Pelodiscus sinensis: one gene and its partners. The protein of the gene in region 3 interacts with the protein of the main gene of each other region in a pairwise test. Links are inferred from orthologs where the notes say so. Each region holds a gene or a part of one and is shown on either strand. Other genes may lie near its edges.

What was found.
Region 1: the proteins of HSPB1 (region 3) and NVL interact in binary tests that used the Homo sapiens proteins (3 or more experiments, as listed by UniProt). The link is inferred for Pelodiscus sinensis from reciprocal best matches to the Homo sapiens genes HSPB1 and NVL.
Region 2: the proteins of HSPB1 (region 3) and PELO interact in binary tests that used the Homo sapiens proteins (3 or more experiments, as listed by UniProt). The link is inferred for Pelodiscus sinensis from reciprocal best matches to the Homo sapiens genes HSPB1 and PELO.

What each region holds. Positions count from the first base shown.
Region 1 is NC_134713.1:155,538,863-155,549,386, forward strand, and holds the start of NVL (nuclear valosin-containing protein-like), read right to left. Parts: upstream 5,446-10,524; 5' UTR 5,337-5,445; coding exon 5,280-5,336; intron 3,705-5,279; coding exon 3,631-3,704; intron 495-3,630; coding exon 442-494; intron 319-441; coding exon 219-318; intron 1-218. Other genes in the region: CNIH4 (protein cornichon homolog 4), read left to right, coding at 9,205-9,273. UniProt on the Homo sapiens protein: Participates in the assembly of the telomerase holoenzyme and effecting of telomerase activity via its interaction with TERT. Involved in both early and late stages of the pre-rRNA processing pathways.
Region 2 is NC_134716.1:98,697,245-98,707,768, forward strand, and holds the start of PELO (protein pelota homolog), read right to left. Parts: upstream 5,469-10,524; 5' UTR 3,157-5,468; coding exon 2,431-3,156; intron 1,314-2,430; coding exon 882-1,313; 3' UTR 1-881. UniProt on the Homo sapiens protein: Component of the Pelota-HBS1L complex, a complex that recognizes stalled ribosomes and triggers the No-Go Decay (NGD) pathway.
Region 3 is NC_134731.1:15,441,130-15,451,653, forward strand, and holds HSPB1 (heat shock protein beta-1), read left to right. Parts: upstream 1-4,410; 5' UTR 4,411-4,481; coding exon 4,482-4,875; intron 4,876-9,111; coding exon 9,112-9,175; intron 9,176-9,608; coding exon 9,609-9,798; 3' UTR 9,799-9,961; downstream 9,962-10,524. UniProt on the Homo sapiens protein: Small heat shock protein which functions as a molecular chaperone probably maintaining denatured proteins in a folding-competent state. Plays a role in stress resistance and actin organization.

The DNA of each region.
Region 1 (10,524 bases), on a different chromosome or scaffold from region 3:
AGCCTATGGGCCTGCTTCACTAGAACGTAACTTGAATTAAGAACTTCTTCTCCTGGCCCTTTTTCCCCTCCAAGCAAAGAACAGGCTAATGAGGATACAAGGGCGCACCTGTATGAAATAGCTTGCATGATCAGGGCCTGCACAGTTAGGTTTTTTTAAAAGATACAAAGCACTAACATCATTGTTGAAGTAGTCTTAAAGCAAAATTTTCAACTTACTCATCCTCTCCTTGTCTGTCTCTTGCTCTTTTTGCCACATGTTCATTTTCTAAAGTGGTTAAATCTTCAAATTCTCTCTCATTACTTATTATCTCAAATACTAGGGAAAAACAGAAGAATATGATGAGAAGATGACACCAAGTGCTCAACAACAGTGTAGTCAGTAATTCAGAAAGCTTCTTTAACTTGTTTGGTATTTTTGTCATGATATTAACAGACTTACCTTTCTCAACCTGAATTCTAAAGGCATTTCTCTTTCTTCGGCCATATTCTGCACTGAAAACAATTGCACACGTTAGTTTCTCACTGAAGCCTTCTTTCATGTAGTGACACACTCCACAATTGTTTATATGAGTGCATCCAGGAACAAATCATATGGCAGAGTGATTTGGTTCAAGGTATTCCCAGGCTTTACAAAAAGATTAGGTGCAATTCAAATAGTGTGATACTACACTAAATTTTGGGGATAAAAGTGCAAGGTGAATCTCAGTGGTCTCTAGTTAGTGGTCTTCAAAGGGACATTTTGTGTGGATTACGAAACGCCTTCTCAGCTGAACACATAGATCAGTGAATGGCAATATTCCTCGTCAGCTGAGCACATAGAGCAGTGAATGGCAATATAAAAGAAGAATCAGCTATGTGGATTTCCAAACAAAATACACAACGTCTACATACGTAGCTAGGAACTGGACAAGGATGGGTTCTTCTTGTGGTGCACTGATAAATTAGTAAATGGAATCTTGCACAACACCGTATCCCCAGCTACAAACAATGTGGTCCATTACTTTCACAAGCACTAAGTTCAACCATTGGATTTTTTTTTCTTTTTGGCATAATGAAAAATTCAGACCCTTTAATCATTTGCAATGAATGTGCTCTCCCAACTTCATGATCAAGCAGCTGAGTTCCCTTCCAATAACACAGGGGTGGATAAATACTGGCTCATGGGCTAGATCTAGTCCACCAGGGTTAGCTCCTGGAGGGCCCCCACCTGCATGGCTATGGGTACCAGCAATCGCAGCTCCCATTGGCTGCAGATCACCAATCCCAGCCAAAGGGAACTGCGGGAAGCAGTGTCCCTGCCTATTCCGCTGCCATTGGCTGGGAACAGTGATCTGCGGCCAATCACCAGTAACTGCAGCTGTGCAGGTAAATATAGTTAAATATAGTGGCGGTAGCTCGCTAGGTGCTAACCCTGGCAAACTGCCGCTGTGTTACTGTCCATTCCTCCACTAACAGATCACAAACTATATATCCCACGATAGAGAGAGGCTATAAGCATGAACAAAGCTACTTCCTTGTCCTCCTTCAAATTATGCTTTAAAATTCTCTTTTCAAGGTGTTTTTAAGCACCACAGCAAAGTTAGGCAACTGAGGGTACATCTATAGAGCAAGTTATTTTGAAATAAGCTATTTTGGATTATTTTTCCCTGAAATAGCTTATTTTGAAATAGCACGTCAACACTACAGAAAAGCCTCAGAGACCAGCAGACCAGCAGACCAGGGAGACGTGAGCAAAGCTGCGGAGCACGTGGGCAGCCCAGACGCGCTGCAGCTGTCCCGCTGCCAGCGTCCTCAGAGGCTTTGCTCCCCGTCTCCCTGGTCTGCTGGAGACCAGCAGACCAGGGAGACGGGGAGCAAAGCCGGGGAGGAAAGCCGAGGAGCAAAGCCGGGGAGCACGTGGGCAGCGGACAGCCCAGACACGGCGCGGCTGTCCCGCTGCCGCTGTCCTCAGAGACTTTGCTCCCCGTCTCAGCAGACCAGGGAGACGGGCAGCAAACCCCGTTCGTAACTGCGGATCCGACATAAGTCGGATCCGCGTAACTCAGGGACTGCCTGTACTTGGTCCTGCTTCAATACAAAGAGATGGAATAAATCAGGGCTACTCAACTTTGGAAGCCCCAGGGGCCACAATGATACTCACAGCACACTGTCGAGGGCCACAACTTAAGTGTGGTTGCATATACTTGCAAACATATATGCAAATATATGCAAATAGCTTCTTTCACACTGACAGGCATGAATACAAAGATTAAGGCAAAACTACAACACACAAGCCCTATTTAAGCCAGTTCTGCTGCTATTAATAAAATGCAATATTCACCCGACTTCCATCCATATGGCAGCACTTTAATGGGCAATGACAGTCCAGGAATTTAACTACTAAAACGCATATCAACAGAAGACCATGATATTGACTACTTTTTTGGTTTGCCTCCCACCCACGGGTCACGTGTTGAGCTCCACATAAACTCAAACTGCACCACCGACTGCAAACAAACAGGCCACGGACTGCATGTTGAGTAGCCCTGGAATAGATGATCATTTGAGGTCTCTTCCACAATACATTTCTACATGACTGCAGAGCAAGTAAACAAACAATCCGGAGCGGCCCAGTAGCAGATCTCTCAGAGTGGGTCCATAGACCACTTTGAGAAACACTGTTCTACGGTACAACAATATAAAAAAATTACTGGAAATTTTGCCAGAGAAAACCTTAACCAGAAAATAATTTATTTTCAGTGTACTTTTTCCTAGATCTGTGACTTACTAAGCAACTTTCAAACCTAGTTTTACAGTAAAACTCCAATTGTCCAGCATCCAGTGGTCCGGCACTCCTGATAGTCTGGCACTAACTGGAACCTGGAAGTCCTCCAGCCAGCCGGACAATTGGAGCTCTGTGAGCCCCACATGCGCTCATGGGCCAGGAAAGGAAAGGGGAGGAAAGGGGAAGGGGATTATACCCGTGACGGGTCTATAATGTGTCTGGCCTGGGGGCGGGAAACAGCACAAAGAGGGGCGAACCCTCCACCGTTTTTCAGGGAGGCGGGGGAAGCCCTGCGCAGCTGCCTGTGACAGACCAAGTGGGGCTGCAAGTGGCAGTGACAGACTTGGGGAAGCGGCGGAGCGGGGCAGAGCAGCTGGGGTGCTGCCAGGTTGGTCCCACAGCGCTGCTCAGGTGAGGGGCAGCGCTGTGGGACCAACCTGGCAGCGCCCCAGCTGCTCTGCTCAGCCGATTCCCCAAGTCCGCCGCTGCCGCTTGCAGCCCCAGCTGGCCTGTTGCCGGCAGCTGTGCAGGGCTTCCCCTGCCTCCCTGCAAAACAGTGGAGGGTTCGCCCCTCGCCATGCCGTTCCCCACCGCGGCCCCTCCCCCCCCGCCCCACCAGTAGCAGTGCGGGTCCCGGCAGACCCATCACAGCTTCCCCGCTGGAGTACCTCCTGATACGCCGGCATATCCGATAATCCGGCACCTCCTGGGTCCCAAAGGTGCCGGATTATCGGAAGTCTACTGGAAGTGTAATTCATAATTGTCACGAGAAATACGGTATTAACATTTTTAGATATGCAAATGTATACTACCATTTCTATTGTTTATTAAAAACAGAATACAAGGATTACACTTTTTGCTCACCTGTAAGTTTTCTGTAAACCAGCTGCTAAAATTCCAATGTCCACATATCGACCACATTTATTACTGCTCAGGTACTGCAATGCAGAGTTTATAGAATTTTAGACTTTCTGTTGAATTGATTCACAAGATGATATACAAGAGAAAAACTAAAACATCAGAAACTGTATGAATTTATTTTGCACAAAGTTATATTATTATTTATCAGTTTGATGGAAACTTAGCTATTTACGTAGCCAATTCACAACATTTACTGGAAAATGTAGTACATTATATATTGGAGACCAAACTGACAAATGTCATTAATTGGGGCAAATCCACAGTAAATTAACAGAGCAGTAATACTCCGATTGATTTAATTATTAACCACACACATGTGTTGCAAAAGCAGCAGGAGACACTTTAGCCAGCACTGATTAATAACTTAGACTCTTCAGTTAGTCTATAAGGTGCCACAGGACTCCTCGTCGCTTAGACTATCAGGATGCTTTCAATATCTTATTAGCCACTTAAATTGTCAACTTGCACTAAGTTATTAATTTCTTTGTTGTGAGACAAAATGCAAATAAAATATTTCCCCTGTTGTACTGTTTAAATATAATTAGTAGGGATGTTAGAGTTTATCCGACTAACCATTTAACCGATAAGCTGATGTTTATCGATTAATCATCTTGGTTAAATTCAGCCAGCTCCCAGGGGGGTGGCTTCACTATCTCAGGGCAGCAAAGCCTTCTCCCCAGGAGCCAGGTGGGCAAAGGATGCTCTGCTGCTTCTGGGGAGAAGGCTTCTCTGCCAAAATGAAGTCCCCTCCCTGGATGCCAGGTGGGCAGGCGCTGGTAGCCCTGATCCTAGAGAGGCTTTGCTGTGGCCTCTGCTAAACTTTATACAGCAGAGCCCACATGTAACTGTTAAGACTTTTAGCAGCTACATGGTTACTGTATTAAAAGATTTTTAATATCCTTTATGACTAGTAGTACAGTGAATGAAACAGTCAATTCACGCTACTATGACCCTTTGGGTAACTTTTCTCACTAATTTAGTTGCTGAACCAGCGAAGTCTGACTATCAATACAATGGAGAAAAAAAGGTCCTGCAGTTGATAGGGCACTGCATGTGGAAACAGAATTCATGGGTTCCATCTCTGATTCTGCTCGACTTTCCATGCAGTCTCATTTCTGTGTCTCAGTTCACAGCCTGTAAGAGGCGGATCATAATTCAATACCTCAGAGGGGCGTTTTAAAGATAAATGTGTCTGTGGAAGGTGCCCAGCGGAGATCCAGACACCAGTCACAATAACCACACGCTCGCTCAACAGGGCTGCAGTAAAATCATTCCCTCCCACCGCGCCCGTCTCGGGTTGTAAAGCCCCCCACGCGGGGTAGCCCGCGGCACCAGGCAACTCGTGGGGAGCCAGGGCCGTGGCCAGCGTTTTACACACACGCGCTCGGGGCCGGGCCGGGCCTGGCCAATGGAACAGCCACTAGCAGGCCTAGACCCGAGCGCCGGGCCCGCCGTTGCCTGGCGCGGAGCAGCGGGGTCCGGCGCAGGGCTCGGGGCTGACGTCAAGGCAACCCCCGAACTGCCCTGGAGCGCGCGAGGGAACTGGGGGGCGGGGCGAGACAGGAGCAGACCCGGGAGAGGGGAAGCGGCACCTGCTTGATTCGCTGCTTCAGGCGAGGGTCCGCAAAGCTCCGCGCGCGGCCCCGCATCGCCCAGCAGCTCCGGACAGACGAAGCGAAAGGACCTGAGTCTAGGCTACCCTGCGCCGCCAGAGCCAGAGATCCGCGCTGCAATTCTGTGCAGGCACCAGCCAAGGCACCTACGTCTCCGGCCGAAGGGCCCCGTTCAAAATAGCCCGACTTGATTGGCAGCCCTAGTAGTAGGAGGTGTGGACATCAGCTACTATGTCTTGTTAGAGTCAGTGATAGAAATGTAGCCGTGTTAGTCTGGGGTAGTTGAAGCAAAATGCAGGACAATGTAGCACTTTAAAGACTAACAAGATGGTTTATTAGATGATGAGCTTTCGTGGGCCAGACCCACTTCCTCAGATCAAATAGTGGAAGAAAGTAGTCACAACCATATATACCAAAGGATACAATTTAAAAAAAATGAACACATATGAAAAGGACAAATCACATTGCAGAACAGAAGGAGGATGCGGGGGGGTGGGAAGGGGGAGGAAGGAAGGTAAGTGTCTGTGAATTGCTGATATTAAAGGTAGGGAGAGTGGGATGTTTGTGAGTTAATGGTATTACAGGTGATAATTGGGGAAACTGTCTTGATAATGGGTGAGAAAGTTCAAAGACTTGTTAAGTCCTTGTTGGTAAGTGTCGAATTTTAACATGAATGACAGTTCAGAGGATTCCCTTTCAAGTGCAGATGTAAAAGGTCTTTGTAGCAGAATGCAGGTGGCTAAGTCATTTAGAGAGTGTCCTTTCAGAAAGGACACTCTCTAAATGACTTAGCCACCTGCATTCTGCTACAAAGACCTTTTACATCTGCACTTGAAAGAGAATCCTCTGAACTGTCATTCATGTTAAAATTCGACACTTACCAACAAGGACTTAACAAGTCTTTGAACTTTCTCACCCATTATCAAGACAGTTTCCCCAATTATCACCTGTAATACCATTAACTCACAAACATCCCACTCTCCCTACCTTTAATATCAGCAATTCACAGACACTTACCTTCCTTCCTCCCCCTTCCCACCCCCCCGCATCCTCCTTCTGTTCTGCAATGTGATTTGTCCTTTTCATATTTGTTCATTTTTTTAAATTGTATCCTTTGGTATATATGGTTGTGACTACTTTCTTCCACTATTTGATCTGAGGAAGTGGGTCTGGCCCACGAAAGCTCATCATCTAATAAACCATCTTGTTAGTCTTTAAAGTGCTACATTGTCCTGCATTTTGTTAGAGTCAGGCTACTCAACTTTGGAAGCCCCGGGGGCCACAATGATACAGCACATGCAGAGGGCCTCAACTTAAGTGTGGTGGCACATACATGCAATTAGCTTCTTTCACGCTAACAGGCATGAATACAAAGATTAAGGCAGGACACAACAGGCAGGCCCCATTTAAATCTGTTCTGCCGATATTAACAAAATGCAATATTTGCCTGCTTTCCACCCAGATAACAGCACTTTTAATGAGCAATGAGAGTCCAGGAATTTAGCTACTAAAATGCATATCAACAGAAGACAATTATATTGACTACCTTTTTGTTTTGGCTCCCACACGCAGCCTGCGTGTTGAGCCCCATCTAAACCCAAACCACACAGCGGGACTCAAACAATCGGATTGTGGGCCGCAAACACATGGGCTGCGTGTTGAGTAGCCCTGCTTTAGAGACAAGTGTGACAAGTTGGTTGTATGGTGCTTGTACTGAGGCCCCAGCAATGACCGGTGTTTCAGTTAAAACCATGCCAGGATGAGTCAATTAATGCCATGCCATTATTTGTTTATTATTGGTGTTATAATGCCTAGGAGCCTTATCAGCAGGGCTCACTGAACCGCGGCAAGCCCTGCTTGCCAGCCGTGCTTTCCGGCGATCTGCGTATGCACAGATCACCTGAACCCGGCTCTTCCGGGTTGCAATCTGCTCGCCACGGGCAAGTAGATTGCATTATTTGTCGAGCCCTGCTTATCAGTAAGCCAAGTAAATTAAATGCAAAGTTTAGGCACGGACACAACACTCAGTTTGACAAGTCTAGCATCAGGATTGCCAACTTAATAATGGCCCAAAACTTACCTTTATCTCCACTAGCACCATCCCTGAGGCTGTGCCCCTTCACTTTATCTTCCCTTACTTTCATCCAGGGCCCTCACATGGCAGGAGAGGACACTTCACTGGGATCCAGCCCATGCTACACCTTGTGGTATGTGTGCGGGAGGGGGGTCTGTGTTATAAGTTTGCACTGGGTCTGAAAATATTATGCTTGGGCCCTCCTTTCACCATGGTGGGCCAGGGGTTGGGGTGTAGGAGTGAATGAGAGTTCTAGCTGAGGTTGTGGGCTAGATAGAGGGGAGTCAGGGATTAGGGTTTGGGGGTGCTGGAGAGGGCTCAGAACAGCTGTGGCAGAGGGTTGGGATGATAGGAGGCATGAGGACTCCAGCTAGGAGTGTGGGCTCTGGAATGGGGCTAGAGATGACTGATTTGGGTGAGGATGGGGCTGAGGATTGTGAAGTGTAGCGGGGATACAGGCTTTGGGAGGAAGTTTGGATGCAGGAGGGGGCTCAGGGCTGGGGCAAAGGGTTGACATGGGGAAGCAAGCTCTGGGTTGGGGCCAGGGATGATGAGTTTGGGGTACAGAAGAGGCTCTAGACTAGGGCTAAGGGGTTCTGGGTACAGGAGGGGCTCAGTGTTGGTTGGTGCACAGGAAGAGTGGTGGAGTCTCGGAGGTGCTTACCTAAGATGGCTTCTGGAAGAAGGTCATCAAGTCTTTGCAACTCATAGGCACAAGGCTAGGGAGGCTCCATGCTCTGCCCCAGCACCTCCCATTGGCTGTGGTTCCCGTGCAGCCAATGGGAGCAACAAAGTTGGTGCTCAGGGCAGGGGAAGCACACAGAGGCTCCCTGCCTTCTTGTACACCTAGTAGCTGCAAGAGCCTGATGGCCTCTTCCTGGGAACCACATGGAGTCAGGGCAGGTATGGAGCCAGTCTTAGCCCTACTGAACCACCAAACAGACTTTGAACAGCATTGTTGGTTGTGCTGACTGGAGCCTCCAGGTTTCCTTGTCAACTGAGTGTTCAGGTCGAAAAGCAGATACCTGGCTACCCTACCTAGCATGACAGGTCAGTTATTTTCAACTCCCCCTTCTCTTGAAACTTTAATACAATGTTAACTTTTCTGCCTTCCACATTCTGCAGGTAGTAACATTTCTGTTTCTCTTGTTAGTTATGTTATTGAAATAACAAGATGTGCATGTGTATAGCTAATGGACAGACTTTACTCTCCTTTCTTAGTGCCTCTGGGTTACACATGCACAGTTAGTAATGCAATAAGAACCTTAACTTTAGGAATAACCTAACTCTCATGGATTTTGTTTTATTAATGTCACCACCATTAAATTTTAAAGTTATGATTTTAAATCTTATGCTAATCTCCCTCCATCCCATTGGCCCAGCTGTGGCAGCTATTAGGATTATGTGCTTTCTCCTGGAGGGAGGAAGTGAATGGGTTTGCATTGGGGTCTGGGATTCCTGGGTGGGACTGAGAAAGATGTGTGCTACTGGGATTCTGTTCTGTGCAAAGGTCCCCATCCCATCCTCATAGTCCCAGCCCCTTCCTGGGGCCCTATTCAGAGCAGGACTGATATCTGAAAGGTGAGGGATTTCTCCCTGCCTCATCCCAAACGTTAGGCCAGGCTTCCCTTCCCAGGGGTCACCACCTCACTGCTGCCTGCAGCAGCCCTTGCAGGTCTAGGGAGGGAAGTGAAGACTACATTTCCCAGCATGCCGCGGGGTGAGCTCCGAGGGGCGGGCATGTACAGCTTGAGACGGTGAACGGGGGAGGAGGAAGAGAGCCGGAAACTGCAGTGTACGGTGGCCGGGAGGCAGGGCGGCGCTGGTGGCATGGAGTCCGTTGTGTTCATCTTCTCGCTCATTGATTGCTGCGCTCTGATCTTCCTCTCCGTGTATTTCGTATCCTGCGGGAGAGGGGGCCAGGCCGGGCCGGGGAGACTCACGGGGGGGCGGTAGCGGGGCGGGCAGGCGGCAACACGGGGAATTGGGGGCTGGGCCGGAGTGGGAGGCTGTACGGTGGGGACCACCGGGGAAGTGTCCCGGGTCGGAGGAGAGGGGAGGAGTTGGCATGAGGGGGTGGGGGCGGGTATGGTACCCAGCGATGGTGATTGGCAGCAGGGGGTTGGAAGATGCGTCCGTCCGGATTCTGCGGCCCGGGTACACGTTTAAGCCACAAGGCCTGATTTCATTCACAAGCTGTTTTAAAAGTTAGGAAAGCACTTCTGTGGCTACTGGCTTTTGTCAAATCCTATTTGTTGCAAAATCTCATTTGGGACCTAAATTTCCTCTCCAGTATTGTTAGTTTCTGTTAATTGGATTAATACTAAGATTGAAAATCACACTTGTGAATTTCTCTGTATTTGGGGGAATTTTTTTGTTGGTAGTTTACATAGGATCTTTCATCTGTGTCTCACTGATGGGTCTCTGCTTTAGCTGGAGAATGAAGAACAATTGGTTAAGGATTAAAAAAAATCTGTACAATAAATATGGAGGTTCCTTTGTCATAAACATTTCATCATGGTAACAATCACAATCTGATGCACCTTCTTGGATTATCATTAACAGTTATGTCACATGTGTTGCATCATGATAAAATTGGAACAGAATCCAAAAGGGGCTAAAAAGGAAGTTGGAGAATGTTGCTAGGACTCGAGATGGCTGGAGAGGAATAGGCTGTTTCATGAAAACATTTCTATAACACAGAAAACCTGTAAAAACATGGCTTAGTAATGAGTGTGCAGTATCCAATTCTCTAAATAGAAAATTTCAGTTCATTACTATATGTGGCTTACACTTAGGCTACGTCTACACTGCAGGCTTTTTGCGCAAGAACAAGTGTTCTTGCACAAAAACTTGCCGGGTGTCTACACTGCACGCGTGTTCTTGGGCAAGTAACTTTACAGTACAATGTTGGAAAAGGGTTTCTTCCAGAAGAGTTATTCCTCCCATACGAGGAATAAGCCCTCTTGCGCAAGAGCTCTTCCACAAGAAGGCAGTGTAGACAGGCAACATGATTTTCTTGTGCAAGAAACCCCTATGGCTAAAATGGCCATCAGAGCTTTCTTGCGCAAGAGAGCATCCATGCTGTCATGATGCTCTTGGCAGTGTGGTCACGCTCTTGTGGAAGACCTTTTGCACAAGAACTCTTGC
Region 2 (10,524 bases), on a different chromosome or scaffold from region 3:
TAGAAGACAGTTATTTACATCTGAAGTACCAGACTTTAGTACAGCATATAATATAACTTTCAGGAACTCACATGACAGGGACCTGAGGTAGTATTTTAGAAGAAATATTCAAAGTGAGGCTCACACTGCTTTATACTTTGGTTTGCAGTTGCCATCATGTCTAAAGAGATACTGCCAATTCAGTTTTTTCTTTAAAATATTTCCATTTTTAATCGAACAGTATTGAATAATACTGCCAAATTCAGGCAAATGATTGGACTCATGAACAAGACAGGCCCACATCTAATCTTCTTCCAATCCCTACAATCTACTCCTTTTTACATCAATAAGATGTGGCCCTTGAGTTCCTGACCAAGTTGTCAACCTGCCTATGGCTAAAGCTCGGATAGCAGTTTGAAAAGGAAGATTATTCTTTAGAATACCTAACACATTGCTTCCCATACTTCCCAGTGCTGTTTGCAAGCACATAAAACAGGAAATGTGACATTTTAGCATTTTTTCCTCTTAATTTATTCTTTTTTTGTACATGCACCAGAAGGCAAAAAAGATCATCTGCTTTAAAATACCTCATCAGCAGCTTTCAGGAACCAAATCAGAATTATATTAGTTTGCTATGCTCTGGGAGATCCAGAGTGTAGTTTGTACAAACAATGGTTAACCCCAACCTATAGTATACTCATCATTATTAATACTGCAAGTGCAAATATATATGGCTATCCAGTACAGCATGTTGAACAAAACCAGGCACCTTAAAATATATGTTGTCCTCAAAATATTAAATTGCACACTAGGGCACATTTGTTTGCAGTATTTGGAAAAGAAACGCTGTGACTGTCATTTTAGTCTTATTGTACTATAGAGGAAGGGTGAATGAGCCATTATCAATCCTCTTCAGAACTGGATTCCTCCTCTTGGTCAGAGAGGTCAGCAACAGGGAAACGTAGGATAGCTGCTACCCCTGTGAGCTGGCCAAGCTGTTCCCCAGACACATGGAGGCTGGAGAATATGCGCACTGTACCCATATTCTCCCGCACGCTATCTACCAGCCGCACATATCGGCTGCGGGAAGCCACATCCTGGTGCCTGAAGAGCTCATCGCTGATCAATAGGGTATCAATAGCCATGGCCTCATTGGCCTTTTCCACGTGTTTGAGGCCGTAAAAAGCCCGGTCGGGCTCATGTTGTAGCATCTTGTAGAAGTCATCTAAGGCTTTGACCTCACCAGCTGCCTTGGTGTCAGAGAGACGGCTGGCCACAGCTGGGTCACAAAGAGCTTCTTTCAGTGCATATTTATGTCCAGAAGAGGAGTGGACCTATAATAAAAATGTTATAAATGGAAGAAAAATGGATAATTTAGTCCATGGTGATCACTTAGCCTTATATGTTTCACTTATGAACTGAAACTTTCCGTAGTCAGTCTCTTTCTGAAGGTGAATTTTTTCAGGAATATTGAACAAGAATACCTTCAGCTACCTCTGAGCTTAACAAAGTTAGAAAAAATTTAGAACAAAGTCATTCAAAGTTTGTTTTAAATATGCTGGGATCTTGAGCACTGGCCTAAACCAAAAAGCATCTGAAAAAAACTAGATTCACAGTACTCCTGCATGTATTTTCAGATATAAGAAGCGAGCACTTCTCAGCAGTGATTGGACCCTTGTCCTCAGGCTGGTTCTTGCAGATAATACTTCATTAATATCCATGTTAAAACACTGAGTTAAAAGAAACTTGTTTCATACTTATGAAGCTGTTTTTAATGCCCTGGGACTGTCAAAGGCTTAGGACCCTGATTTTGGATTAAAGGCTTACTTAATTCAGTAACAATATGTATCCTCTAGGAAGCCAGGCATTGTAAAAACAGGAAGCCAATGAAATTTGGATGTTCTTAATTTTTTTTCCAATTCTCCTTTAAAAATACCGAAGAAATCAGATAAAAATAATTAGCAAATAAAACCTTAAGGTCATGCAAATAACAAAAACCAAGAGAAAAAAATAAAAAAGTTTTCCAACAGCAATGCTAACTTAGCCTTGCTACTTCTAGGTATGTTTTCATTTGCTTTTCTTACACTGGCATTAAATCTGTCATAAAACACTCATGCTCCCCAACACAACTGAACTGGCTTTTCTGCTGGAAATGCAATTTCCTAAGTGTTGAAATCTCTGCCATTTTAATGAGGCACTATCAAGTTTCTTTTTGTGTGTGTATGAGGGGTGGGGGAGCTTGCATTTAATTATCTAGTGCTTCATCTAGTTTAGCTTTTAAGTGTCCCAACAAAAGGACACCTACATTCCTTACTAATACACAATTTAAAGTCTAACAAAAAATAAATTTATGTTGATCTTCAACTTAAATTTTCTCTATGCTAATGTCACACAATATAACTCTTTACTCTTTTTGGATTTTACAATTTAAAGGTTACTTATCTACTTTACCTGAAGGAATTTGGACCGGTTCTCTAGCAGCAGCTTGTTGTCAGTCTTGACAGCCTGCTGGAACATGTAGTCACAGAACTGTTCTCTTACAAACCCCGGACTGGCCACCAGCACACATTTCACAATCTCAAAGTTGATATGACGCTGGATTGCCTGCACCACCTGCTCATAGAATCTCTCCAGTGCTCGGTCATGTTGACTACAATTTCCCCTCCGTTTTCTGGGGATGTTCACTTCAATCTTGGCCCGAGTCAGGGTCATGCTGGGGGTTACAAGACAGATATGAGCCAGCCCCTCTTGCATGACCACTGCTGCCACGTCAGCACTCCAGCTTGGGTCACAGGCCTGCTCAATGCGCTCCAGCACCACACTGTCCCACTGCTTCTTAGCAAGCGTGAACTGGCGGTTGGGCTCCAACTCGATGGTGTGGTAGGCCCCCATCTTGACATACTCATTCTCCTGGATGTTGGTCCCCTTGACACGCAGCTGGCAGGCCTGAGAGTCGAAGTCGATGGTCTCCACGCAGAGGGTGAGGGTGGTGCGGATGCGGTTGCTGCCCACGCTGCCCGTGGCGGACTCGGTCTGCACCTTGCGGATGGTGGATGCCCGCAGGCTGTCCCCCACCTGCAGCAAGTTGTAGGCGTGCCACATGTCCTCGGGATCCTCGGGGATCAGGGTCACCTGCCCCGCGTTATCCTTCTCGATGTCCTTCCTCACCAGCTTCATCCTGCCGCTGCCCGGGACAAGCCTCCGTCCGCGGGGAACGGGGCAGCGCGGCGCCTCGCACTCAGGACCGGGCCTCTCACTCCTCGCACGGCCCCGGGCCCTGCGCCCTCTCAGCAGGGAAGGGGCGGGACACGTGGGACGAGGCCGGCCAGCACTAGGCCCTGGCGGGCGGAGGTGCAGCCCGGCGCCGCACCCAACACGCCAGCGGCGGGACCTCGCTGATCTGAGCGGCACTTGATGACCCACCGCAGTCAGTCAGCAGCGGCAGCCCCGGGATGCGCCTGCGCACTGGCTGGTGACAGGACTAGGCACAGTCGGGAGCAGCCCGGCGACAGCATCGTCCGTTCGCGGACACACCAGCCGGGCAGCGGCTTCCTCCCACAGAGCGCATGCGTACACTGCCGACCCGGCGCGGAGACGTTGAGATGACTTCCGGCGCGCTGGCAGTAGCGGGCGAACTCGTCTCACGCATGCGCATAAGAAAGCCTTCGCCGTACCGCCACCTTTAGCGCATGCGCGGAAAGTACCGGAGAGGGTGGTGCCAGTACTGGAGCTCGGGTTCTGCTGCTGCCGCTGCCAGGGTACGGTCGGGCCAGCGGCACAGACAGAGGCCGGATCAGAGCGGCACGTGTGTTCTGAGGGGAGCTCATCAAGGCGGCTCATGACCCCGCCCTCCCAGGCCGTGCTCCCCGCCTCCGCTGTCCCTGCCCTAGTCCTGCGGGTGGCCCAGCGCAGCCTCCGCCCGGCTCAGTCCGTGCTGCAAAGCAGCGAGGTGGAGCATCTCCAGTTGGAGCCCGACTCGTGCTGTGCTAGAGAGCCGGGCCTGCCTGGGTGCACGGCCTTACTCCGCTCCCCTTCCCTCTGGCCCAGAGTTAGGCTAATACCGTGGCCAGTCGGGGCCACAAGCTCCGCCGCTGGCTGTCGTAGGGATTGCTCGTAATCCCTTCATTGTACACAGCGCTGCCCATCAATACCGCTCAAAGCATTTTACAAGGGAGGTCAGATCCCTTTGCGATTTTCACAGATGGGGAAACTGAGGTGCAGAGAAATTTCTTGCCCAAGGTTACTCAGCACTTCAGTGTTTGGAAGAAAAATATCGGAGGTACAAGAATTGAGGAGACAGCTAATCCAACACAAAATAAGTGATGTGGACTGCTACTAATTGATATGGTTCCATTTCTTATGTTCTTGAAATCTAGATGTATATTCATACAATGAACAGATAATGCTAGAGAACAGATATATTTTTATAGTGGGGAAAGCAAATTCTCCATCCAGACTGAGGCTTGTGTGTATGTACATCTAGTGGCTAACATAACAGTTCAAAGTCAATTTCCTTTTATAGAATTCACAGCATATATATACTATAGTAATATTGATAGTAAGAATTAGGGATGTTAAGAAGCAAATAATTTGCTAATTGTTTAGTTGATAGAATTTTATCAACTACATGATTAGTTAATAAGAGAAGGCAGTTTAAAGCATTCAGTCCCAGCTTGCACCAGGTCTGGGAACTACCCCACTGTGGCTCTGCATTTAAAATGTTGTAGAAGCCGGGTGGGTAGGGGGCCTGGCTCAGTCCTGACGTGTACCCGGTCAGGGACCAAACTTTGCTGCGGCTCTGCATTTAAATGCATATAGTCCATAAGGTTTTTTTCTTATTGGTTAATCGGTTAATTGACTGTACTATTACATCCCTGGTAAGAATATAGGCTAACATTTTCAAACTAATGCTCCTAAAAAATTAGACTCCCAAATTGCAGTGGCCTGATTTTCAGTCATGCTGAGCTCCTGCATAAATATTAAAAAATCAAATAATGTAATAATTTAATTCAAAGAATTAAACTAATACAACTTCAATTGACAAGCATAGTTTAATATATTTTGTCATCTTTAGTTACTCTACCAACACCTGAAGTTATCCAGTCATGTGCCACTATTCACTTGTTCCAAGATATTTATGATAAATATTGAGAAAGTTAGCATTTAATTCAAAAGTTATTAACATACAGGTATCACTGAAGAACAGACAAAGATCAAACTGCTAGGTCCTATATTCTACAAACTTTTACTTTCCTGAATAGTCCTATAGAAGCAAAGGGGACAACATGCATGAGTGAGGGTTCTTCTCTAGGTAGATTTTGGAAGACCTGTAAACTATGAGGCTGTATCTACATTGATGCGATCTTGCGCAAAAGCAATTGCTTTTGCGCAAAAACTTGCTGCCTGTCTACACTGGCTGTGAGTTCTTGCACAAGAACACTGACGTTCTAATGTATGAAATCAGTGCTACTTGCACAAGAACTATGATGCTCCTGCTCAGGAATAAGCCCTCTTGCGCAACTATTCTTGTGCAAGAGGCCAGTGTAGACAGGCAACATGAATTTCTTGCACAAGAAAGCTCTATGGTTAAAATTGCCATCAGAGCTTTCTTGCGCAAGAGAGCGTCTATACTGGCATGGATGCTCTTGCGCAAAAGCACATCTCTTGCGCAAAGGCACATGCCAGTGTAGACGCTCTCTTCTGGAAGAGTTTTTGCACAAGAACTCTTCTGCAAAAGAGTTCTTGCGCAAAATCATGCCAGTGTAGATGTAGCCCGTGTGCTTTGGATGACTGAAGGATCACGAATATTGTAATGGAAGGGAATTACACACCAAGAAGCCTTACTCTGTACCTGGCAAATTGGATGAACAATTGAAAGCTATATAATAAAGCACTTGAAGATCATGATGTGATACCATCTTGCCACAGGATTTCTGCTAAGGAAAATAATGCTTCACTGATCTCTAAGGCAAGGTCTACACTATACTCTTTTATCAGAAAAAGCTATGCAAATTGCACTCCGCAATTTGTGTAGCATTTTCTGATTGCTTTTCCGGAAGAGGATTTAACACCGTTTAGCTCCTCTTTCGGCAGAGCCCTTATTCTTCAGAGAATACTGTATTCAGGGCTCCCTGAAAGAGCGCGTTAGCTCTTCTGAAAAAAAAAAAAAGCAGAAGAGCAAACGCGTTCCCTGGACATGGTGGAGTTTTTCTGGGATACCTCCAGTATCTTGAAAAAAGCCACCAGTCTAGACGTACGGTCTGAATGTATCATTAAAGTAGTGGATTAAGAAAAACCACTTGTATTTAGATTATCAAAAGATTTTTAATAAGTTCCATCAGAAAAGTCTATTAGAGAAGCTAAGTAACCAGGAAGAGAGGTGAAGTAGTTCATGGATCAAAAACTGTCTAGAAGACAAAAAGTATAAATAAAAGGTCAATTTTCATCTGAGCAAAAAGCGAATGACTGGAGGTGACTCAGAGTTCTATACTAGGTCCGGAATTGTTTAATATATTTATTAAGATCCCGGAAAAGGTGGGTTGACTCATAGGGTAGCAGTGTTTGCAAATGGCATGGCGTTACTTGGGTTAGATCAGGACTAGTGGGAATTTTCAGGAACTTCACAGAGACCTCAACAAGGTAGATAAGTAGGCAATATGAAGGCAGATGGAGTTTGAGGTTCACAAATGCAAAGAAATATAAATTCAGGGGACATTATAAACTACCCATGTACCTTAGAAGGTTCTAACTTAACTGTGTCAATACAGGAAAAGATGCTGGGTATCACCAAACTGTTCAAGAGAGACCTTTGCCCAATATGTAGCTGCAGTCAGAAACACAAATGATGTTAGATTGCAAAAGAAATGGGGTAGAGAACAGTTGAGAAAGCATTTTGATGTCTACATAAATCAGTGGTGCAAAGAAGAGTTAGAAGAATGATTAAGAGGCATGGGAAAACTCACATGAAAAGAGATTGAAATAAAGGGAATTATTTTATATAGAACTGAGACACAGTAGAGTGGACATGCTAGACCAGTGTTTCTTAAACTGTGCATTCGGAGGTGTGTCACAAAGAACAACAGAGTTCAAAACAAAATGGCTGCTCAATAACTATCCCCCTGACCTTTTTCTTTTTCTTTTTCTTCTTTTTTTTTTGTTTGTTCAACAAAAAATCCTTGGTGTTCCTCATAAAAAAAATTGTTTGGTGTGCCTTGGTCTTAAAAAGTTTAAGAAACACTGTGCTAAACAGATATAAAATAACAGTGTTTCAGTTCTCCCTGTCTCATCATAAAAGCAAAGAAACATTTAATTAACTTAAAAAGTTGCAAATTCAGAAAAGATGAAAGGAAACATTGTTTCACATAACACATAATTGAACTGAAACTCACTGCTTCTGGATATCATTGAGACCAAGAATCTAGCAGGATTCGAAAAGGGATTGGATTTTTATACAGATCAGAATCTCCAGAGTTATCATAAGGAATAGCAAAAATTCTGAGAGATATGTTAAACTTCATGGCTACATCTACACTGGCATGATTTTCCGGAAATGCTTTTAACGGAAAAGTTTTCCGTTAAAAGCATTTTCAGAAAAGCGCATCTAGATTGGCAGGATGCTTTTCCGCAAAAGCACTTTTTGTGGAAAAGCGTCCATGGCCAATCTAGATGCTCTTTTCCGCAAAAAAGCCACGATCGCCATTTTCGCGATTGTGGCTTTTTTGCGGAAAACAAATCTCTGCTGTCTACACTGGCCTTTTTGTGCAAAAGTTTTTCGGAAAAACACTTTTGCCCAAACGGGAGCAACATAGTATTTCCACAAAAGCACTGACAATCTTACATCAGATCGTCAGTGCTTTTGCGGAAATTCAAGCGGCCAGTGTAGACAGCTGGCAAGTTTTTCCGCAAAAGCAGATGATTTTGCGGAAAAATTTGCCAGTCTAGACACAGCTGATGTGTCATGGTTTAATAAATCTCTGTCACAGCTCAGTATGTAACCTATCGGGGGGGGGGGGGGGACAAATTTCCCACATCTGCTACTATGGGATTCTTACACTCTCTGGGCCTATCTACACTTTAGGGCAAAAGTTGAATTATGATACACAAGTTCAGCTATGTCAATTGTGTAGCTGAAGTTGAAATACTTTAATTCAGCTTTTGGCACTGTCTATACAGAACACTCTTCCTTTGACTTCCCTTACTCCTCATAAAATGAGGGTTACAGAAGTCAGAGTAAGAAGTCCATCATCTCAAAATTATTTTGAAATAATGGCTTGCTGTGTAGATGCACACTTTGTTATTTCGAAATAACAACAGTTATTTTGAAATAATGCTTCAGTGTAGGTGTGTCCTCAAACATCTGCTGTTGGAGGTAAAATACTGGAATAGATGGCTCTCATTTCTGATTTGGTATTACAATTCCTAGGTTCATAAGCCTGACTCCTAAGTATGTTGCAAAGGATACTGTTTAATGGGGGTTGTGAAAACAAGGCCCAAAATTCCATTCTGTAAACACATATATGCTTATGTATTCACATGTGTAATTATATGCAAGTTAATGGGACTACTCACATTTGTAAAGTTAAGCACAGACATAACTGTTAGGATTGGGTCCTATATTTACTCATTCTTTTCAGTTACAGAATTGTTCAATCTACGTGGGGGTAATGTTCAATTTTCTTTGAATTTCTTTCTACCTTTCTTAATAATCATAGGATATCCGTTTACCTGATCCTGGCAGTGGAAAGTTTCTCATTTCCTTTGCTTTGCATGCTTATTAAAATGCTTCTGTATTTTAGAATAACACCACTGCTACATTTCTATCACTAACCTCCATGGGGGCTTTAAATGCTTTAGATGGCTAATTATTTATCCAACATATGGAAGTAAGGAATATTTTCAGACATTCATTGAGCTGATTTTTTGGCACATTTTTCAGATTATTGCTTTTGGCAGTTTGTGAAAATGTTCTCTCCTCTGAAGCTGCAGAGTCTGAATTGGTGTTCCACTGTGCCAGGGCAGGGCTGAATGTGGTAATTTATTGTGTACCTTTTCCATGGTTGAAACAAAATACAGGACTATGTAGCACTTTAAAGACTAACAAGATGGTTTATTAGATGATGAGCTTTCGTGGGCCAGACCCACTTCCTCAGATCAAATAGTGGAAGAAAATAGTCACAACCATATATACCAAAGGATACAATTAAAAAAAAGTGAACACATATGAAAAGGACAAATCACATATTTTCATATGTGTTCACTTTTTTAAAATTGTATCCTTTGGTATATATGGTTGTGACTATTTTCTTCCACTGTTTGATCTGAGGAAGTGGGTCTGGCCCACGAAAGCTCGTCATCTAATAAACCATCTTGTTAGTCTTTAAAGTGCTACATAGTCCTTTATTTTGTTTCAGCTATACCAGACTAACACGGCTACATTTCTATCACTATTTTCCATGGTTCTGAGTTCTGCTTGATGTGAGGCCTCTGAGTAGCATGCCACAGAAAATATGGTGGGGATGGCATGTGTGTGTCCTTCCATCTTTTACCTCCAGGACTAAGTGAAAGCCCTGGAGAGGTTATCTCAATCATTGGTCCAGTTACTATGCAAAAAAGTGCTTTTTTAAATCGTTAGGTTACTTGAGTTAATTAATAATTTGAAACACCTCTAAGCACAAAGTTTAACATCTTTACAATCATATTAGCTGATTGTTTTCACTGCACTGTGGTTAGAGGAAGAAAATCCCTATCTATTCCGGGGATGGGGAGGAAGATTCCACCAGCAGGACACTGGATCCAGCCTGCAGTCACCTTGCCAATACCATATTACAAAGCAGCTCACGCCGCTTTAAACAGCTAGCTGCTCTCAGCTCTGGACACTGGGGAGGGAGAGGAAGGCTTCATGTACTGCCCCTTCCCTCTAGCAAAATCTGGCCAATAGGAGCTAAGAAATTTTGCTGGGTTCAGGGGCAGTGTGGGAAGTCTCCTCTCTCTCTCATTCTCCAGTTTTAACTGATTTAAAAACAAACAAACAAACAATGACCAGAATTCAAGTTTTGCCTGTTTCTGCAGCATAGGATGACAATTTAAAACAGAAGCTTTAATATTAAGATTTTTTAAACGTTAACAAGAAGCAGTTCTGCTTAAAATCTGAAGTTACAATATCACAGTTGAACTTTATGTACGGTAAGTGATATCTTGAACAAACAGATCAGTACAGCCTACTTCATTCAGAGCTTCTGGAAGCAATACATTGCTTCTTATAATAGTTTTGTATAAAAAATATACTACAAGCAAGGTATTACACCCAATGAGCTTAAGAATGTGTTGTTATTCATTTTAATGGGGGAAAGTTTGAACTCATGGAGAAAGAAGAATCTCAGAAAGGGTACGTCTACACTGCAGGGCTTAAATCGAAATAAGCTATGTAAATTGACCTACATCAATTGCGTATCTTATTTCAAAATAGCTGATTTCAAAATTGGGAGCATCTACACAGCACTTATTTCAAAATAGAGCACTCTTCCTTCTCCTTCCCTTATTCCTTGT
Region 3 (10,524 bases):
AGCGCCTGTGTGGTGGGTATCGGGAGGGGGGGCTGGATGGATCCCAGAGACTCTCCTGGCCTACCCCCTGCCCAGCCGCCTAATCAGGCCCTATTCTTGCTGCAGCCACAGGAGCAGGGCCGCAGATGGGGCCTGTCAATCTCTCCGCCACGGGCGGCTCCTGTTCCCGCTGGGAGGTAGCCAGGAGAGGCCAGGCCGTGCCCTCGCTGTAACCTTGCCTGCTGGGGCCGCTCCAGCTCCCTCCCCACAGCCCAGTCCCTGCCCTGGGCCTGGCTGGGAGCCAGACGGTGCCTGAGATCTCATCTGCTTTGAGGTTGCCAGCTGGGGTCAGGCAGCCTGGATTCAGACGGGCCCATGCAGCGGCCCAAGCTGGCAGCTGCCTTAGAGCATGGTAGTCTCAGCCCCTGCAGTGGTGTGACTGGTGGGGCTGGCAAGCCGTAGAATCCCTGCTTTTCTTCCTCTCCTGCCTGCCCCTCACCCCCAGGACCAGTGGTCCCTGCAAGCTGAGTGCATGGGTGGCCATCCAATGCCCAGCTGATTAGCAGAGCACCCACAACTGCCCATAGCCTGTGTTTCTACTGGTGGTGCACATTCACAGATGCCTTGGTGCACATAACAAAATTTATTCTGCACAGAACTGGAAAAAATTACAGGGAACATTGCCCAGGATAGCAGAATACACCCCCACCCCTGCCGCCATGAAGCGTAGGTTTGATAGCACGTGCACACACTGGATTTGCTCCTCCTTTGCTCAGGCCCCCATGCAGCCACTCGCACCAGTGCGACATGCTGCCCTCCTCCCTGCTTTGCACTGGTGTGAAAGGTTGCAGCCAGTGCCAGCAGGCACTCCTCAGAGCCTGCCTTCCCCGTGCACCCTGGCCACCCGCAGGCCCTCTGCTCCCACAGCGGAGAGGAGGGCCAGAGCTCTATGGCACAGTGCAGAGTGACAACACCAGGGCTGGTGGAGGAAGAGAGGCGAGTGTGCAGGCTAGTGTGTGGAGGTAGGTTGGGCACTGCTGCACAGGGGGCAGGCACACGTGTGCGCTTGGACTGAGCTTGTGAGCTGTGCAAAGCCACGGGGTGCTGCAGAGCAGGCAGGGGCTGGGCCAGCTGCCCATGGCCAATCCCCAGTGGCCCCAAGCACACAGTGCTTTTTTTTAAAGAAAAAGGTGCCGGTACTCCAGGGGAAAAGTTGTTGAGCTCTGACTGGAGGTGCCGGTACCACGTCTGGAGGTACCAATACTGCGTCGGGAGGTGCTGGTACCACGATTGGAGGTGCCGGTACTACAACTGTGTTGTACCAATAAAAGCAAGCAGGATCTTATGAGGGGGATAAGGCAAAAAGCCACATTTATTGTAAAGATAATAAAAAAAATAAAGAAAAGATAGAAGCAAACAACGTTGTTTAACTACTTAACCCTTATACATATAAACATTCATTCATCCATTCATTCAGGTTCTGTGTATTTGTTATAATTACCAGCCTGGAAGTTGCTTGTGACAGAATACTGGCCAGGTATTCTGTAAACAAGTGATGGTAGTGGGGAGCGAAGTCCTGATCAGATGCGCATCTGAAGTGATGGTAGGCTGGCAGCAGAACCTTGGACTCTGATTCCATAGTTTTTTAGTCCAGTTCTCATAGGAATTTCTTCCTATGCCAGTCTATAGGAATTGCTGCATCATGCTGATGTCTCCAGGGTGGCTGCCAGGTGCTCGTCAGTGATCTCATCGGGTGGACCTCCAGTACTTGGTTTTCTCCACTCGACACCTTTTGGTTGCACTGGCACCTGACGCCTTCTTCAGCCCTTTGTTGCTGTATTCTCAGGCTGGCACCTCTCAGAACCATTCATTCATCGTCCAAGCACTCACTCTCTCTTACATACATTCCCTAATTAATGTTTCCCATACAGTATTTTGTATAATAATAAAAGTTGTAGTTACAAAAGTTACTGGGTGGTATTGCTTAAAACATTCTGAATGCTAAGTAAAGTTACAATGTTTTAAAGAGAACAGGCGTCAATTATGTAACAATGCCCTTAGTCAATTACAGGGCTTGGCTCCCATAGCAGAGTTAGTGGCTTGACAATGCATTGTTACAATGTATCTCTGCAATGTCAATTTCAAGCAGCCCCTTGCACAAGCTTGAGCATGCCCTGGGACACAGGAGGGGGGGCTGTTTCTGGCTACATAGGATTATATTCTTAACAGTTCTAAATTACATGACCTAATATATTATATTCTAAAGGGGCAATAATAATAATAAATCTAAACATTTAACAATCTTAACAAATAATAATAATAAGAAGAATTAATAATAAATCTAAACACTTTAAGTTGTGGGGAACAAATTATGGGGAGTCACTTCCATTTGGGGGAATCATTTTCAATACATTAATATGTTATCCCTACAACTGGAGGTGCTGGTACCACGACTGAAGGTACAAATACTGCGTCGAGAGGTGCTGGTACCACGACTGGAGGTGCTGGTATCACGTCTGGAGGTGCTGGTACCACGACTGGAGGTGCTGGTACCACGACTGGAGGTACCAATACTGTGTCTGGAGGTGCTGGTACCACGACTGGAGGTGCTGGTACCACGACTGGAGGTACCAATACTGCAACTGGAGGTGCTGGTACTACGACTGAAGGTGCCGGTACTACAAATGGAGGTGCCGGTACTACAACTGGAGGTGCCAGCACTGTGTCTGAAGGTGCTGGTACCACGACTGGAGGTGCTGGTACTACGACTGGAGGTGCTGGTACTACGACTTGAGGTGCCAGTACTGTGTCTGGAGGTGCTGGTACCACGACTGGAGGTGCTGGTACTACGACTGGAGGTGCTGGTACTACGACCTGAGGTGCCAGTACTGTGTCTGAAGGTGCTGGTACCACGACTGGAGGTGCTGGTACTACGACTGGAGGTGCCAGTACTGTGTCTGGAGGTGCTGGTACTACGACTGGAGGTGCCAGTACTGTGTCTGGAGGTGCTGGTACTACGACTGGAGGTGCTGGTACTACGACTGGAGGTGCCAGTACTGTGTCTGGAGGTGCTGGTACCACGACTGGAGGTTCTGGTACCACGACTGGAGGTGCCGGTACTGTGTCTGGAGGTGCTGGTACCATGACTGGAGGTGCTGGTACCACGACTGGAGGTGCCAGTACTGTGTCTGGAGCTGCCGGTACTGCGTACAGGACAGTACCATCACAAAAAAAGCACTGGGTGGGCAGCTGCCATCCTGCTCTGTGCAGTGCACTCAGCCAGCACGCGAGTGGGTGCGCCCCCTCCTCCCCGAGTGGAGAGCTAATCCCCAGCTTCAGCAGAACTGTGCGAAGTCAGTGGAAGGAGCTGCTGCACTGGTAATGAGGTTGGGGACAATGTTCCCCCCCAATTTCTTCCAGGTGCAGAATAAATTTTGCTATGCGCGCCAAGGCATGTGCACCACCAGTAGGAACACCCGCTGCCGACCGACTACGGGGGCTCTGCTAATCAGCTGGGAAGTATCTGAACCTCTCCTGCATGGCCGCCCAAGCGCTCAGCTTCCAGGGAACACTGGCTGGGGGGCAGCCTAGCTCCAGGCTGAGAGTGATGAGACTTGGGAGCTGGCAATCAATCGCCTTGTCATGGGCATGGTGGGTGGGCACCGGATCCTCTGCAGCTGGTCCCAGTAAGGACGTGGCAGGTTTGATACCGGATCCTGCCCTGCCCCGCGCAGGCAGTGTGAGAGGGCTCCTTGTGTACCGGCCCCTTGCAGCCGGACAGGGCACAGGGTGGGGCAGGGGTGCAGGGGGACGCTGGCCCTCCTTTGGCAGCTGAGCTGGAGGCAGGCTGAGCCCAGCTTGTTCTCTCACTGCTCCTCAGCCACCCACGGACTGTATCTCACGGCTCTCCTCCTCCTCATTCCCCAGCTCACCCCCGCCCCTCCCTCCTCTTTCCATTGCCTCCCATGTGCTGCCCCTGCCCATCCACGCAGCCATGCGCTTCTCAGTCACTGCACCATCCACCCTCCCACACCTCGCAGCCCCCTCCTCTTTCCCCACCTGCACCCAGCCCCATTGTACAGCTGGGGAACTGAGGCCCAGAGAGATTAAGTGACTTGCTCAAGGCCACACAAGCAGGCTGTGGCAGGGCCCAAGCCCTAAACTCAGCTCTCCTGAACCCCAGTCGTGTCTTCACTACCCAGCCAACCCACTGCAGCCAGATACTGGGGAGCCAGCACCCTTCCCCGCTTCTTTGCAGGCCCAGCGTAGCCGTGGGATGACGAAGGGCCTGGGAGGACGCGGGCAGAGCCTGACAGCTGACCTGCTGCTCATCAGCAGTGACTGGCCCGCATGTAATCTCCATGAATAGCCAGCTGAACTGCCTGGCTAAAAATAACCAGCTGCCTTTTCATAAGGGGCCAGCCCGCGGGGCTGCTCGAGAGACGCCCGCTCGTTCCCCTCCCGCCACAGCCAGAGCAGCCAGGCCAGAGCAGGAGTGCACCATGTCAGAGCGCCGGGTGCCCTTCACTTTCCTGCGCAGCCCCAGCTGGGACCCCTGGCGGGACTGGTACCTGGGCAGCCGGCTCTTCGATCAGTCTTTCGGGATGCCCCAAATGCTGGAGGACTGGTACAAGTGGCCGAGCAGCACCAACTGGCCGGGCTACCTCCGCCTGCTGCCCAGCCAGGCCGCCGAGCCGCTGGCCGTCCCCAGCCCCATCGTCACCTCCCCCACCTCCCCTAACCCTGCCTACAGCCGGGCCCTGAGTCGCCAGCTCAGCAGCGGTATCTCGGAGATCCGGCAGACAGCGGACAGCTGGAAGGTTGCCCTCGACGTCAACCACTTTGCCCCGGAGGAGCTGGTGGTGAAGACCAAGGAGGGTGTGGTGGAGATAACCGGTGAGTGCTTCCTTCCGCTCCTCCTGGCTCTGGAGAGGGGCAGCCGTCTCCTGTGAGCCTGAGCTGTTCTCCCTGTGCTGAGCCCTAGGCCTGCTGCACATGCCCCCCCACAGGGCTGGATTACCCAATAGGCAGACTAAGCATGTGCTTAGGGCACCCGCAAAGCCGGGCCACCAAAAAAAAGAGATTTTACGGTATAGTATTGTTTTTATTTTGAATTACATGGGGGGGGCACCATCATCTTTTCAGTGCTTAGGGCCTCTAAAGGTCTTAATCCGGCTCTGCCCCCCTAGAGCAAGGTGAGTGACACAGGCCCCACTGGGCCTGGTCTGTGAGAGGTGGCTGCAGCCCCCCTCAGGCCGGCCTGGCTGCCGCCTGTGGCCCCGGACGGCCAGGATTCAAAGGCTCCATTCAGGCTGGAGGATTCCTCCTGCCGAGATGGTGGGGCACTGGTGCACCCTTCACTCTCTCGAACCTCCAGCCCTCGACTCGGCGCCTCTCACTATATCGCTCATGCCTCCAAGCGGGCCGTTGCCTGCCCCCCCTTATTCCCCCATCCCCACAGCCTTGAGGAGTGGATGCAGCCAGCCGGCCCCCTCTGTTTCCTGTGAGGGGCCATGTTCCACCCCACCGCACGCTAGGGAGCCGCTTGCTCCAGCAGGTCGAAGAGGGAAAGGGCTTGCTCAGCCACCTAAATCCATGCAAGCCATGGGATGGGGGAAGACTACGCTTGTTATTCCATTCCGGCTGAATATTTGTATTCCAGACCCCTCTAGAGACCTCAGCCTAGAGCAGGGCCCCCTTGGGCTGGGTTCTCTACAAACATAGTAAGAAATAGACCCTGCCCCAACAAGCAGTTGGTCTAAATAGACAAAAGGGGAGGAGGGAAACTGAGGCAGGGGGCTGTAATATAACTTATCACCCAGCAGGTCTGTGACAGAGCTGGGGACAGACCCCAAGCTTCAATGAGTCCCCGGCTCACAGCCTAGCCCCCAGCCCTCACTACCCCCTAGGGCCCTCTCTCGAAAGCGAGGAGCCTTGTACCCTTGGGGGGTCTGGGCCCGAGGGCTTTCCAAGTTCACACACGCCCTTAGCAGTGAGTGCTCCGGCAGCCTGGCGAATCTCCTCTAGAGCATCATTAAAGATGGTGGCTTCACTCTCGGGGGAATCGTGTGGGCCTCGCTGCTGGATTTGAATCGTGACCCTTCCAGCTTTTTCTCTCCCTCCCTGGCTCAGATCCCAAACGAGAGCTCGGCAAAACATCTCCCAGCCCAGCAATCGCCATCACAATGGCAGGGAGCAAAGCCGAGGGTGCGGGGAGGAAGGAGGAGTCCCCTCACTGCCGTTTTCAGCCACTTCTGCAACACACTGCAGGCTGGCCCCCTCTGGTCCGGGACTCTGGGGTCCGTCTTGCCAGCAGCTGGGAGTGGTGCCAGGCTGGCAGCCTGCGGGACCAGTGTCCGGGGGATGGGGAGCCATACCAGCAGCCGGAGTGGAGCCCTGGTGGCCAGTGGAGCTGGTGGCTGGGGACAGTGGAGCCCCAGAGCAGGTGGGCCGGGAGCAGTGTGTTGGAGGAGAGCCCCAGGAGAGCCCAGAGGCCTGACCTCCCCTGGTCGGGCAAGCCCCTTGTTTGGGACCTCTCAGGTCCCCAGGATGCTGGACCGGGGAGGTCCAACCTGTAACGAAATATTTTCAAACAAATGTTAAACTAAGGCCCTGTGGCCTCCCATGGGACATTCAGACGCTGTCAGTCTGGACCAGGGGTGGGCACATGCGGGTGAAATGGCTCCGTTGCTGCTGGAATGGTTCTTTCCCAGGTTCAGTGTCTGCTCTTAGCCCCGGCTGGCTTTGTCACTGGTAGCTAGATCCTCTCTGGAGGAAGCAGAGCCACAGAACAGGGATAGGAAGAGGAATTGGGTGGATGGACATTAGGACCCAGGGGTGCCCTGAATTTCCAGGTGCCCGACGCAGCTGCGTATTCTGCATGTGGCTAGGACGGCCCTGACCACACTGTGCTGTGACCCAGCCCTGCGCAGCTCACGCGGCTTGGATGTAAGATCAGCCTGAGTCCCCCTGAGCCGTCCCCTCCCGCCCTCGGCTCCAGGAAGTTTTGCAGCCAGCTGTCCCAGAGTGCCAAGTCGCCAGCTGGTACAAACCGGTGCGGCTTGAGTGACTTCAAAGCACGATGCTGGTTCACACCTGCTGAGGGTCTGCCCCAGAGTCTGGGGTTTGCTGGGCAGCAGGAAAGCTTTGCAAGAAGCTGCAACTTCCCTGTTTCTTCCCAGCGAGCCAGTGATCAGGTCACCAGCTGGTACAAACCGGGGATCTCCGAGCCTGCTGGTGAAACCGACCCAGAGCGACGATGCTCAGAACCAATTTGCAGCCACCGGCGAAGCTGAAAGGGACTGACTCAGTCCAAGGCGGATGGTGCTCACCCAGGGGCAGCCCCTTGCATCCAGGGGACTGGAGCTCAGAAGGCAGGACCCAGCTGGGCTGAGATACCAGCACATGGGTTCAAATCCCTGCTCTGCCACAGACGCCTAGTGTGACCTAACTCCAGCTTCTCAGCGGGATTTGGGGCCTAAATGCCCCTTAGGAGCTGGGCCCTCCTCTGAGTAGCCCAGGGGATCAGCACTTCCCTACCCGGCCGGAGCAGCCTGTGAGGTACAGGGCTGCGTACGTGCCTTAGCTTGAGAAGTGGAGGTTGCTGAAACCCAGGGGCTGCGAACCAACCACCTAGCCTGAGACACGGCCGGGGAGGGGAGTGGGGGAGGATGCAGTGAGGCTACCTCTGCACCCTGGGGCTTGGCAGCTGTGGACCAGGGGAGCAGAAGGCTCCCATTGAGCCACCAAATACCCCGGCCCGTTCCCTTCCAGAGGCTGTAAATCCAGGAGAAGCAAAGGAAAGCTGGCATCCAGGGTGGGAGGGGAGGGGAGGGGGAAAGGGACTGGGAACTTTTCTTCAGTTTTCTACTGTCAGGGGCCAAACCCCCAAGGCAGAGAACGCATCTCCCACCCCCCAAGCAGCAAAATTCCAGCTTTTGATCCCCTTTCCCGTTTGTATCTGCAGTTTCTCCTTATCTGGTCTCGGCTGTTCAGCCCAGCCCGGCGCCTGCCCTGAAAACCAGACAGAGCCCAGGATGCAGCATCCGGGTGGCTGAGGCGTCTCCCGATTTTGTAACCCAGCTGCACGGGTGCGGGTGGAGGTGGGGGGCAGCGGTTTCTTCCATTCGCAATCACCCATGTAAATGGCAAGCCGCCCGTGCGCTGGGTAACCATGGTAACAGGGAAGCAGAGGCCTAGAAGGCGGGGAGGCCGAGCCGCGCTTTGGGGAGCTGTAGGAACGGCAGCCCGGCTTGGCTCTGGCCCCACCGCATGCCATAGAAGCTGCCTGCCCTGTTGGGGGGAGGGGGAAAGCAGGGCTGGGGAGATGGACCAGCTTGTCAGCCAGGTCCAACTCCACTGTGAGCTGGCAGGTGGGGTGCAGAGTGACACAAGAGCATTGGCAAATCAGCATTTTATACTAGTCGCTCTTGCCCCTGGGAGGGTCGGCCCTGGGCCGGGACCCGCTGTGTTAGGTGCTGGACATACACAGAATAAAACCTGACAGGCCAACCGAGGCCTCTGCCCGGACAACCTTCCCCGCCAGTGGCGGAAATCTGGCGCGAACAGGCGCTCTCATAGGAGTTGGGCTTCCGGATGTTAAATTGCGATTGCGAGCTAATCGAATAGTCGATACAATCTGTATCGATACAATCTGTATCGACTATACGATTAGCCGATCGCACCGCTATGCACAGCCGCCACGGGGGCAGCCCCAGGAGCCCCCCGCACTGCGGCGCCGCATTTTAAACTGCTTATCGGATGGTCGCGCACGACCCCATGCGGAAAACAAGCTGTCCCTCGCTGGAGAGTGGGCAGGGTGAGCGAGGGCTCGTGTTGCGCACGCAGGGTCCTGTTCAGAATGGAGCCTCCCCGCTCCGAAACGAAGGAGCCCGTTCCTCTTGGCTCCCCCAGCCAAGCGACTACTAGTCCCCTGGGCAGTCTGGCGGGGGGGGTCTGTGGGCCAGGCTGGCGGCTTGTGGAGGAGCCCTGGGAGTCGGGGAGGAGTCAGTACCTTCTCCGCTCTGGGTAAACCCCCGGGAAGCTCCGGCTGCAGGGTCCTAGCTGGGCCCGGGACATGGCACTGACCACTAGGCCTCACCCCCTGACTGTGTCTGTCGCCTCCTCTTCCAGGCAAGCACGAGGAGAGGCAGGACGAGCACGGCTTCATCTCCAGGTGCTTCACCAGAAAATACACGTAAGTGGCCGGCTCAGCCGGGGGGGAGGGGGGGAGAAGAGGGCTCCTGGGAGACTGGGCCTTCAGCCGTGGCAGGAGGGGGGGGGGGGCGATTTCTTTGCCACATGCAGTGCGGCTCGCCAGGTGGGACCCAGGGGCGTGGTGGCTGGACCCAGGGGAGATATGTTAGCCCACATCCCTGGCCCTGCTGGAATGATGTTTCCGTGAGGGGGGGGCAGGGGCAGCAGAGATGGAGCCCCTGGTTCTAGCTCTCCGGGGCCGGGGTGGCACAGAGCAGTGGTGAGCGGTCCCAGGAGGGAGCTACGCTCAGCCCTTGCTGGCCAGGAGGGGGTGGCTTCCCAGGATCGAGGGCAGACAGGAATCAGGTGCCAGTGGGCACTGCCAGGCGAGCCCCCGGCCCCGGCACACCCTCCCTCTCCTCTCCCTCATGCAGCCTGCCTCCTGGCATCGACGCCACCACGGTGCGCTCCTCGCTGTCCCCAGATGGCACGCTGACGGTGGAAGCCCCCCTGCCCAAGCCGGCCATCCAGTCTGCCGAGATCACCATCCCCGTCACCTTTGAGAGCCACGCGCAGATCACCCCGACCGACACCAAAAAGCCTGAGGAAGCTGCCAAGAAATAAGCCAGCGCCTGGCCCGGAGGAAAATCGCAATCCACTATGTGCCCCCCCCCCCCCCAAGCCATGGGTTTTTTTGGTTTTGGTTTTGTTTGGTTTTTTTTGTACTAGCCCAGCCACTGAGTTGCTCAAATAAATCGGAAAAAGTCAAATAAACCAACCCCCTAGTGTCTCTCCCCGTGTGCTGCATGGCCGGGTGCACTGGCCCTGGGGCTAGCCTGTAGCCAGCGATAGTGCCAGGCTGCATCCGGGGTGGGGGCTGCAAAGCCCCAAGAGAAATTCTCTCCGTGTTCACCAGAAGGTCCACGTGCCACACGGCACCAGGACGTGGTTTCTCCCAGCAGCCTCTGCTAGCTGCCGCCTGAGCTAAGTGACCTGCTCAGTGTCTCCCCTGAGGGAGGCTGGGAAGCTGGGCTGGGAACAGTCTTGGGCCTTGTCCTTGGGCTCCTCGTCCTTGGGCCGTTCTTCCATACGGAGCAGTGTCACATGGTGGGGCACGGTCCTGCCCTGGCTGTTGGCAGGGGCTCTGGTGGGCCTGGCACTAAAGCACAGAGTATGGGGTGCCGTGTTTCATGGCCAGCTCTGCTGCAGGGGCCTGGCCACAGGGCCGTCCCCATGCTCCCAGCTGCCAGAAAGGAAGAGATTCTCTCCCGTGGGTTGGTTGGGATAAGGAAGTGATCTGGGAGGACTGTTTGCTCTCCCGGCCTCAAGGAGCCTCCTTAGCAATGGGGG